Linked DNA regions of Caenorhabditis elegans. The protein of the gene in region 1 interacts with the protein of each later gene in a pairwise test. Each region holds a gene or a part of one and is shown in the gene's direction. Other genes may lie near its edges.

Region 1 (4,055 bases):
TAATCTTCTGACGAATTTCTCCCAAATACCGATTGTCTGGACCCGACACAGCAAATACGTCCTTCTGATCTCTAGATGCTTGAATTCCAATCAAGACTTTTCCGGCAGGATCCTTCATTGTGATCAGGATTCCTCGAAACTGATCATGATGTAGAAAGGATGTTGCAATGATCAGTCCATTATCATCAAGTACTTCCATTGTATCTTCCGTATCAGAACAGCAGCCAAATAGAGAAGCAAGACCAGTTTGTTTATAGGATCGTTTTGGCTCATTTCGAAGGAACTTGGCAACCGACTGAAATTGGAAAATTTTTTAGGTTTATAAGGTTATTAAGATTCGGTAATTCAGAGGGAAAAATATCTTCAAAAATTAAAAGTTAGGAGAAAATTAAAAGTTAGTTAGAGAGAAACTGTGTAGAAAAAGCTTGTAATCGACAAGGTGCCAATAGGCGAGTGCAGTTGCAGGGTGAAAGGCGAGCTACATACTTTTTTCAAAAAATGGCAAAATGGTCAAAACAGAAACGAGAAATTACGAAAGCTTTTACCTTTTTATCCTTATTCATAACTTTCAAACAAAACGGCCCATCCTTTGTAATTGGCATTGCTGTTGTATTTATCACATGGAATATCTGAAACTCCTATGAGTTTCCAACTCTAGATCAATTCCAACTAACCACTCTATTATTCAAATCATAAACTTTATAATCACTTCTTGCATGTTTCCTTTGCAATGATTCATTCATGTGCAAGTCGCGAAACAATGAAAATGCGGCTGCATTCTTCAGACGACCCCATTGTTGAGTTTTATCAACTGTCTGAATTTAGAATGATTTATATAGAATCAGTTGAATTGTGTTACCTGCTCGAACTCAATTTCCGCGGTGTCTTCTATCAAAGTTTCTCCTTTTTCGGACATTTTTGATAATTATTGAATAAAAAGTCTTTTTTAAAGACAATAAACGTAGGAATGAATCAGTTTTGAAAGAAATTGACGGAAGCGAAAACGCGGAAAGATTTTAAATTTAAATTGAAATCAAAGTTGAACAAGTTGAACAGGCCACGTTAAACTTTTTAAACAGAATTTTCAAATTCCTAACGAACCAAAGTTCGGACAATATTGAATTCATATATTGAATTCAATGCGACATTTTTTAGATTTCAAATAAAAATAAATAAAAAATCTAACTGTTACTGTATCGTCAATTGGGTCTAATTATACTCAAAGTAGTTCAAAAATGACCAAATATCATAATTAAACACTCCAAAAGTGTTTAGATTTTTCCAAATTTTCAGCCAAAGTTTTCGCATATTGCCAAATTTTCCAGAAGTTTTGGCATTTTGAGAAGGTTCGAGTATTGCTGCAAATTAGAATCTCATACATCTCATACAACATTCAAATAAAATAATGAGAACATTTTTTGAAAATTCAAATCATGAAAAAACATGAAACTCCCAAAAATATGATCGGGGAAACTGAGTTTTCCCCAATTTTTAATGTAAATCATTTCAAAAAATTTTCGACAACATTAAATGAATTGGTTTAAACATTTTCCCTACTGGCGATATTATACCTTCAAAAAATAAAATTTATACACAATGTTGGTGGTCAAGGAAATTTTTGACCTACTTATTTCCATTGATCTATAACTATTGATTCACAACATCTCCGCTCGACATGGTTTTTATTCGTAGTTTGGCATTTGTTTTTTTTTTGAATAATTATTTGTAAATTTATTATATTTTTTCAGTTTCAAAATGAACGAGCCCACGTACAACTACAATGACTTTTTGATGCCTGCATTGGCAGATGGACAACCTGATATTTCAATTGAAATAAGTGAAATTACGAAGAAACAGTGGAATCAACTTATTGGAATTCATGAAGTTGTAGTCTACAAAGACTGCAGGTAATTTCTGTTTTTATTATTTTATTATTCAAAATGTAAAATTTATTTTCCAGAAAACTCTTCCCAGCTGCCAAATTCTCAGTACGTGGTCTCGATCCGGCTCTCCTCTACTCGGTGGAGATTTGCTTTGATGTTCTCAGCCCGTTCACGTTCTCGTATAATAAGAAACTCGAAAAGTGGATTCCAACGAAAACACCCGTCAATTGTCAATCTTCGGCGCTGTCTTCAATGATTTGTGAAACAGGAGATTGGTTTATGAATGGAGATATGGATTTTGGTGCATTGAATATTACAAGCTCCCACGAAAAAGCCAAGGAGAAAATCGAACAAAACAGGATTGCTGTGAGTTTTGTAGAATTAATTTCATTATTTTTACATGAGCACGTGAATTGTAAAGTAGCTGGTGTTATGCACCATAACTTAAATGCAATCAATCATATTGACGCAAATAAGTGATTTTTTGAAATCATTGTGAAAGCTCGCTCCATGGTCAGGTGAATATGCTCCGCCCTCTAGCCATGGGTCTCGTTAGGTTTCTGGAGACAAAACCGTAAATTCAAACCTTTTCAATTCGTTCTGCAGACTTCACCAATTTACAGGTTTTCCGCCAAAATCAAAAACCTACCGAGACCCAACGTTTTGTGGCGGGGCGTTTTTGCACCTTGATTTCAAAAGGGGCATTTTTTGCGTCCCCAATAATCAGCATGTTTGAAAACCAAAACGATTAATTGCGCAATGGTCATTTAGACTTTTTTCAAATTTTCAGGTGTGTCTCTCCTCGAGAACAATGTATCAAATCCGAGTTGTGTTGTATGAGATGCAAAACGACGAACTGATATACCTGAAGGAAACGAAATTCGACGAAATGATATTCATCACTTGCACTGAATATCGTGGACAAGTCAATCGTGAATTGAAGAAGAGTATGAATCGTTTCTCAAGAAAAAGAAAGTATGAAATCAGTGGAACAAAGTGCCAGCGTTCGAAACGTCCAGCAAAACTTCCTGTCGAATCTCTAGATGAGAAGGAACTAAAAAATGCTGAAAAGGGAATCATGAGTTTGCTTGAATCATCACCTTCGTCACCATCGTACCTTTATCAATATCAATACAATTCTCCACAATCAATACCATCTTCTATTTATGACTCTCTCTACCCATCGTCTCCAGAAGAATATCAGATGGTTCATACTTTTCCACAAACAGACCAATTATCTCCTAGTTTTCAAACTTCGCCCACAGTCCATTATGATTTTTATAATCAGCAATATTATGACAATTCATTTCATGAAAACTATTTCCAGTCATACAATCGGTTATAACTTTCGATTTATGCTTATGTCTAGATTTATCCGGTTTCAAATTACTAACCTGTTTTTCTTTTTTATCACAACTAACAAGCTCACGTTTTATCATTCTTGAAATTTTTTCAATAAATAATGAAAATAAAATCAAAAGTGTAGAATTTGTTCTTAAAGGCGCATGAATTCATTCCAATGGGTCTCGTCGGGAGAAAAAGTTTATGGTAGCGCGTCTTGGTGCTCGGATTTTTTAATTATTTTTTTTCCATTTTAAAAATATTTTATGCTCTATGTTTGGTTATGGAAGCGACCACCGAAAAAGCCACATTCTTCAAAAATTTCTGTCAAATCTCTGGGGGAGAAATAAAATTTAAAAATCGGTTGTCTTATTCTGAAGATTATTTACGAAGAATCAAAGATGTCGATCAGTAAAACAAATCGAAAGAGAAACAAAAACAAAACTGGTATTCAAAATTCGTTGAATGAGATTTTTGACGCGAATTTAGCGAGACACTGTCTCGATTCTTTCTCAGATGACGTCGATTGACCCTGCTTCTTTTGTTTTGTTGCTATGCAGATCGTATGTCCTATGCAATAGCACCACACAATATGGGCGAAGATCAATGACACTCGTCCCACTCTTCTTTTTTCCTTCTTCAAATAGGCGGAGCATCTTTTCTCTATTTTTCCCCCGAATGTTGCCTCTATTTCTCTCTTTCTCTAAATATCTATTTGCCAGTCACCTCCTCCTCCTCCTCCATGAAACGCTATCTTTTGCTTGCAGTTTCATCGGTCTCGCCCACCGATGATGGTTGCGCGTTGTCCTGTAAACAGTTTTGTGTTGGGCT
Region 2 (8,057 bases), on another chromosome or scaffold:
GTATTTTCGTTCCGTAAACGCAACAAAGATAACGGTCCCACTAAATAACTAACCCAATCGAAATGTTTTTGTGTAGCTTGACCACATTATCGTCGAGATCATGTGTGAAAATTATGAAAGTAATGCATCTATAGTGATATTTGGTGGGGTTTTAATTATCCAGGGAGTATACGGAAGGTAGGTTTCGGAGTTTATGATAAACAAATGTAAAAGTCACGAGTTCAGAGATACGAGGTTTTTGCAACAACCCGATGGAGATCGAGGCCAGCAATCTAATATTTTAAAACAAGAAGTACTTAAAAAGATGATAAAATAAGGCAAAAAATTAATTTCTGGAATTCGTGGACAGTGTTAGATACTGTAATAACTCTTCTTCCAATCAAGCACAGAATATCCCTTCAAGAACGCATCGCAGTCTATGTGTAAGTTAAAAATTAAAAAAATATACGATACAATATTAAAAAGAACAAAGATGAATACTTTAAAAAACCGAAGTAAAGCATGGTCACCAGACCTAGGTCCTTAGGCTTAGTTGCTTAGCTGCTAATTCGATACGATAGGTTACATGAAAATTGATCTATATGATGGATTATATATACAGGGTGCGATTAACGTTTTGAATTTTCAAAATATCCCCATCCGCATCGCTGCAGGACCTCAGAACTTTTGAGATCTCAATTTTTTGGCACGCAAGTAGGCACTCTGCGGGATTTCTACACTTTTTCTCGAGGAATCCACAAGTGTCTTACAAGTTTTTATAGTTCAAAGAATGCTCTTGGTCTAGAGATTCCTAAAAAACAAAAATCCAAAAAAGTTCTGTCATGGTATGACTGTGGCAGTACTTTGAATGACAAAGACGCCTTGAATGATACAGTCGCCAGAAAGGTGGATGTGGGCGGCGGCAGCAGTATCCAAGAAAATTAATTTTAGTACTTTTCGACACGTTTTGATCTGACTTTCAAGAATTTTTATAGAAGATTGAGCTCGGATGATTTTGTGAGTCGTTACACCTTGTGAAGACAAAAAAAAACTGAGTAAATTTCGCAAAGTTGATTTCATGAAATATTCAAAGGTTCTTGCTAGGCGCCAGTGTCGACACATAAAATTTTTATATGCTACGAAAACAATCAAAAACGCTTCTTAACTTTTTAAACTTTGGATTTAACATGAAAATCATACATCTGAAAATTATTGGCGTCCGTCGGAGGTGCGTTTGTGTTGGAGGTGCCGCGTGCCAAAACACCGTTTCGGCGACAGGGATCGTCAAATTGCCGAGGCGATAAAGATTGCACCTTATTGGGAAACATTACAAATTTTAGGTCAAATTGAAGGAAATTTATTCAGCTATCAGTATTCTATAGAAAATTGTACGTGTGAAGTGGCAGTCGCGCGAAAAAACCCATTTAAAAGAGCGCTTCACGTGTTACCATACTTTTGGCGCACCCTATATATATATATATATATATACATTTGGCCTACGGGACATTTTTCAACTGAGCAAAAGGTGTTGTACGGTTACATAAATGCCTCTAAGAGACGCTGTGTTTTATTACAATTGGGAAAAAATATCACGTAGGTTGTAAGCTGTTTAGTATAAAATGTTGCAAGCATAGCAACTTATTTAATGTAGAAAAACTTTTATGGTTTGCAATTTGACCAATTTTTGATAAATCCCTACTTCAAAAGACACTTAACCAGCTAGAAACGTTTTTCCCGATATGCTGAACATGTGCCAAAACGCATACTGTATTTATTTAAGCATTGAATTCCCTTGAACATAAAGCATGCGACCTGATTGAGGAAGGAGCACGAAATATAAATTTTATGATGACAATTTATGGTTTCCTCCCGATATTCCAGCTTGTTCCCTTTGCTGCTTCCCATCACACAGTTCTTCTTTAGATTTCTTTTATTGGATGGCTCCTCCCCTCGCTCCAAAATATTCCCCCCTAGAAAACTGGAGTCAATCTCCTCCCCAATATATTCTGCCACCCTGCTGCCCTCAATTTTTCCTGTCCTGTCATCCGGGATGAGCAATCCAACTGACAACAACTCTGCCACGTCATCGATAACACCAAATTGTGAGTTTTTGATGTTTGAAGTCTCTACAAATTTGGTAATTCAATTCACCTATTTTGTCAAATTATATCCAAATTATTTCCAAATTCGATTTGCGAGCTTTTTTGGGGCTCCACCTCCACCCCCTCTAATTGAATGGAATTTTAGTTGTTTTTTTTTCGTTTGAAAATTGGAGATTATTCATATGCTTGATTTGTCGGATATGTTCAAGAACGTTTGATTTAATTTCAAAATTTAAAAAAAAATCAAAATCTCTGTTTTTTAGATTAATGAGAAATGTTAATGAGAAATCTAGATTCGAATTTAACTGTGAAAGAGTATTAAAACTTTGTCCGTCGGGGTTCCCAACAAGCATTTTTCTTGAAATTTTAATACATCATGCAGTAGAACCTTAACGCCACATTGCAAAACACGAGCTTAAAGGTTACGTTTTCACTTTTTTTTCACTTTTCAGGGATGCATGTTTGAACTGATACTTTTAAAGTATTATCAGCATCTCAAGCTAGATCAATCAAATCTAATTTTCTTTCTCGCTCTCAAATTTCTTAAACTAAAATACTATAAAATACTCCAAGTTTTTCAATCAAAATAGTAAACTTTAACTGATATGAAGTCTTGTCAACACAACCTACCAACGCTAACAAAAGTTCTCTAATAAAATGAGTAATCCCCAAATGACCTCGAGAAGCTGCTGGAAGAAAAGTCATGTGAAAAGCATACGTTTCTTTTCCAAGGCTATCAGGTGAGATATGCGCCAAAATACGCATTCTCATTTTACATTTCTAAACAACAAATCTGAATTAAAAACATATTAGGTATTTATTTCTTTAATGAACATTCCAAAGGGATTTTATTATCCTGGATTTTGGACTGATGGTAACGATTCTTATTACTTATCAGAATAAATATCACCCAGATTCTAAATTTTGCCAGAAGAATGCGGTACACGGTCTCGATACGACCGATTTAAGCCCAAAATTTCCGGCAATCGTACCGGATTTTCTGGCAGTTTTCAGTACTGTAGTTCCCAACTCCTCGTCGTTGCGGATTAAAAAACTGACATTGAAAATGCGATTATCCGTTTCTAGAGAAAATTCTTCCGTAAAAAAGCACATAAACCCTTTTATTCGAAATTAAACCATTCATACAATAAGCCATCGTAAATTTCAGAAATCAAATGTTTCTCGAAAGCAATTATTCAACTTTTTCCTAAACTCATCTCATTTTTTTTTTCAGTTTCGGCGTTTTCCTCATTTACAACATACAAACCATCCGACTCATTTTCTTCATTTGAATCTGATTCTTCTCCATCAAAATCATCATCATCACGAAAGAATCGAGATAAGATAGCAGACAAGAAGCAACGTAGAAATCGTACAACATTCACGACATTTCAACTTCATGCTCTTGAAGCTGCATTTGATAAAACTCATTATCCAGATGTTTATGCAAGAGAAACATTGGCTGCTAAAGTTCAATTGCCAGAGGTTCGAGTTCAGGTGAGAACATATTTTTTATCTGAGAGTAGAGCAGCGAAAAATATTGAAATTTTATTATTTACTGTTAAATTAAAAACAGAATTTAATCAGTTTTCACATATCAATTTTTTAAGTTTACCAGAATAACCAACACAATTTTTTTGCAATGTACCAAAACTAGACTGACTATTTTGGCAAATCTAAAATTTCCATTTTGAGAATATTTTGGCATTCCGTCTTCAATATGAAATTTTAAAAAATTATATTGTAACATATGAATCAGTTCTGGTAAATCGCAAAAAAACGGAGGTTTCCTTGAATCTGAAAATTTACGGGTCACCAAGAACTTATTATTTTTACAATAGTGCCTCTTTGTTTTAGAACATCTTTTGCTTTAACTTTTTGCTGAAATAAAACTTATTTTTTTTTTTTAAATAGTATATATTATTCACAAGAGTAAAACTGAAAATTCACGGTCGACTAGCCAGTGTTGTTCAATATGAAAATGACTGCAGTGGAAGCTCTTGTTGTTTTTTTGGAGATTCGACTTTATTCGAAAAGCGAGAATTTGAATTGCTATCTAATAAATGGGGGGGGGGGGGGGGTTATAGAGATTAACAATTTATATTGTCAAATTTGATATTTTTTGTAATTCTCAAAATTAACAGAAAATTTGAAATACTCTGCGATTTGGTAATTAAAACATTTTCAAATTTGGATACGGTAATGTTCAATTTCGAATTTTTTTTAGTTTACGAAAAAATTTATCCAGCGTAGTAAAAGATTAACATATACATGGCACAAAAGTGAATTCACATATTTTCATTCTTTAATATAATTATGAATATAACTCCACTCGAGAGCTCATGACAATTAAAATTCGAACTATTTGCTCTTGTCCATGACCCTACTTGTCCTTTTTCCATGCAGCTGTGAAAACTGATCTCATCCGGAACAATTAGTAGTGTTAAATTGGCAGGTTAGCACTCCTGTCACACTTCCTTATGCTCTTCTGATTTTTGAGTCAAAAGGGGGACAAACAATAAACAGTAGAAGAAGAAGAAGAAGATAAGCATCTGACTAATCGACATTGTCTTCTCAAATTTCTTTTTCTTTTCCGTCACTTACATCCTACCAATTTAAGGATTACCTCGCCGAGTCTCGACACATTGTTGTCATACAAGGAAAAATATGGATGCTGGGGAGTGAAGAAGTACATTACGATGGACTTTGAAAAAATGAAAATGAAGTTCTATTTGTAAATTGGGGGGGGGGGGGGGGTGGTTATAGATTAACAATTTATATTATGAAATTTGACAATGCTCCGAAAAAATATTTTTAGACAATTCATTTAACGTATATTCTCTATAAGATATAATGATCTATAAAACACATGAAAATCATTAGATTTTTCAATATTTTCAGTCAAACAATCGGAGCTTTTTGAGTAACTTTGAGAAATAAAAAATCGGATTTCTGTTGGTTTTTCCTTTATTTCTAATTCGGTATACTTGGTGTAATTTTCCGGCGGACTGAGTTTCCCGTAAAAAGAGCGAGCGTTCATCAAGACAGTTTACACATTCTTGATGGGATTACTGTAGGTGGTGGATAAAGAAAGATGTTAGGAGGAACAAGAGAAGAAAGTAAAAACATGGCACTTTAATGGACAAGATGGGGCAAAGGGAGCATAGAGATTGACAACTTACTAATTGGTATACGGTAGATGAGGGAAATAGTGGCGGAGAAGTCGAATGGGAAAATAATAAATTGGGGAGGAACTTTATTTTAAATCAGATATTCAAAATCTACATTTGAAATTTAAGTTTTGAAAATTGAAGCCTTTGGTTTTCTAATGGATGGTGCAACTAATGGATGGTGTAACAAACTTATCATAAATGTTGCGTAAGTATGTAAGTCGCCTAGAAAATATTTTTATAAAGAATTGGCAATGGTCGGGAAGTTTACGTTAGAATTTTTGAAGCTTGAAAAAACGAAACTCTCAAACCTCCCACCTGGACGTGATTTTTTTCCACTGTAATTTCTTCCAGAGTGCAGATGGTAAAATTTTGTCAACAAAAAAAATTGTAGAAAAAATTATGGGAAACATTTGTTTAGTTAAAATCTTTTTGCGAGCTACTGTAGTTTTCGAGTTATACTTATTTGAAAAACAACAAAAAATCATCGCAAAATCAGAAACGAATATTATATTTTAAAAAATTGGGTCAATTGTTATAAACGTTAGGTAACTTTTATGTTCTGACTTTTCTGTAAATGTCCTATTCAATTCTAAATGTTTTACTTTCTTCTGTTTCAGGTATGGTTCCAAAACCGCCGAGCTAAATTTCGCCGTCAAGAGAAGCAGGATTGTCAAGGAGAGGAGAAGCATTCACTGAAAGATACAATGCCATCTTGGTTCGCTTCTTATGATAAATGCCCGTCTAATAGAGTTATCACATTTAGGTCATGGATGAGTGAGAATAAGACAGATACACCGCCAATGCTTCCTCCAGCAAATACACTTTCATCAACTCATAACAATGGAATTTCCGATGAATTCTTCAAGACTTCCGAGGGAAAAGAAGTTTATGGGTTTGTTTAAAAAAGTTTAATTTCTAGATTAAAATCAATATAAATTGGTTTTCAGGTTTCCATTCGCTGAATATGGGACTCCGGCGGACAACACGCACGTCAGCAAAACTGGAAACGTTTTTCATTTGAATTTCGAAGACAGTGATAAGAAATCAATGAAAAAAGTATGTTTCTAGTAAATAAAAAGCTTACGACTCGCCTAGAAAGTGAAGGAAATTCAGTGAAGAAAAAATATTTTTTTAAAAATTCAAGAAAACGGCTGTACGCCTTTAAGAGTACTGTAATTTAAAGCTTTCGTTGTTGCGGAATATTCGTGGATTTTTCATTCGAAAAATCATTCTTACGACTTGTTATTACGGGAACAATAAATCATGAGAATGCGTACTCGGTGCATTTTATTTGACGCTAAGAGATATCGCGCGTCAAATAAAATGCACCAAGTACGCATTCTCATGATTTATTGTTCCCGTAATAGTTTTTAATTAAAAAATTATTAATGAAAAAGGATGAAAATTTAATTAAAATGCTACAGAAACGATAGTTTGATATTACAGTACTCCTTAAAGGCACACACATGTATATATTTAACAAAAAAGCGACGCGCCGACACCAAGTACCGTATTTTTGGCTTAAAAATATCGAATTTTCGCGTCTGAATAAGCTTAATGTTTATTTTTCTGTAAAATTACTGAATGTGTATAAAATTGACCATGAATTTTTCAAATTGAACGCGTAAAAATTCCAGGAATCGCCTCAAACACCATCGACAAGTAGTCCATTCATTTCGGAATATCATCCACCATTTATCCCTTATTATATTCCAAATCAATCATTTTCCAATGCATTTAATCAATATCCAATGCCATTCCCCTATCCAATTCACTTTGAGCCACCACAACTTACTCATAGTCAGGAAAATTGTTGATTTTATATGGAAAACTATTACGAATGTTAGATTTTACTCATGTTTTTTTTTAATCTACTGATTTTATGATTTTTTCTTCAAATATCCCCCATTTCTTCAATCTTCCTTCGGCACAATAAACAGAAGTTTCCAAGGGGGCGGCGCACACCTAACACATTTTAGAGTGGCGCGCGAAACCCGTGATATGTCGGAGGCCGCAGCAACTATCGTCTAGCAGCCGGCTGTCTCATTTATTGCAGACCGGTGATGAAACTGTTCTAGGAAGTGCCGTCTTAGAAACAATGATTATGAATTGGACGCTGAGGTCACTGCAACTAAATTAATTAAAGATTGAGTATGAATTCAGAGAAGTTAATTTAACAAAGATTAGAGCTATGTTTTATTGTTTTGCTGAAAAGTTACAGATAAATCGAAGAGCAAGAAGTTTCTGAAGTATTTTCTCATGATTCAGCCAGATTATCTGTATCAGTTTGTTCTTACAATTGGAGCATCGCCACCAATGAGTTTTCAGAAATAATTTTCTAAAACATGATGAGCTTGTCATGTTATGCAAGGGAAGAAGATTGTAGCATTACAGTTCGTCGAAACGTACATTTACCTTCATGAAAGTTATGAAAACTCTGAATGGTTAAAATACAAATATAACAAATAATATTCAAACCACAAGAAGAAAAATCATTAATTTCTTGAAATTCTAAGCCACATACACCCATCGGTTATTGCTATGTGAAATAACACTCGATAAAGGGAAGGTGTATCGCCGAAAAATTGAGAAAAAAGTAGACGGATAGGGGATCCTTTCCAAGCGAAAAACTGGCTATTATGCAACACGCAGATCTACTTTTTTTGAGCTTTTTGGATACGTATATAATGGCAACGATTTTTACGAATAGACATCATCCAACGATGACAACATCTGGACAATTGGTTGCTGGTACTGCCGTTGCACTCTGCGGAGTTGCTATTGTTCCAGGTAAATTCATTTT

What was found.
Region 2: the proteins of tbx-36 (region 1) and ceh-8 interact in a two-hybrid assay, tested with the Caenorhabditis elegans proteins (one large-scale study listed by BioGRID).

Annotation. Positions count from the first base shown.
Region 1 is NC_003282.8:11,948,849-11,952,903, forward strand, and holds tbx-36 (Putative T-box protein 36), read left to right. Parts: upstream 1-1,721; 5' UTR 1,722-1,755; coding exon 1,756-1,907; intron 1,908-1,960; coding exon 1,961-2,249; intron 2,250-2,673; coding exon 2,674-3,228; 3' UTR 3,229-3,360; downstream 3,361-4,055. Other genes in the region: hdl-1 (putative aromatic-L-amino-acid decarboxylase), read right to left, coding at 1-295, 546-629, 675-815, 860-916.
Region 2 is NC_003279.8:8,244,869-8,252,925, reverse strand, and holds ceh-8 (Homeobox protein ceh-8), read left to right. Parts: upstream 1-1,977; 5' UTR 1,978-2,029; coding exon 2,030-2,081; intron 2,082-2,875; exon of another isoform or gene 2,876-2,909; coding exon of another isoform or gene 2,910-2,955; intron 2,956-3,315; coding exon 3,316-3,578; intron 3,579-5,871; coding exon 5,872-5,969; intron 5,970-6,017; coding exon 6,018-6,146; intron 6,147-6,201; coding exon 6,202-6,310; intron 6,311-6,891; coding exon 6,892-7,071; 3' UTR 7,072-7,421; downstream 7,422-8,057. Other genes in the region: col-63 (Nematode cuticle collagen N-terminal domain-containing protein), read left to right, coding at 7,978-8,044.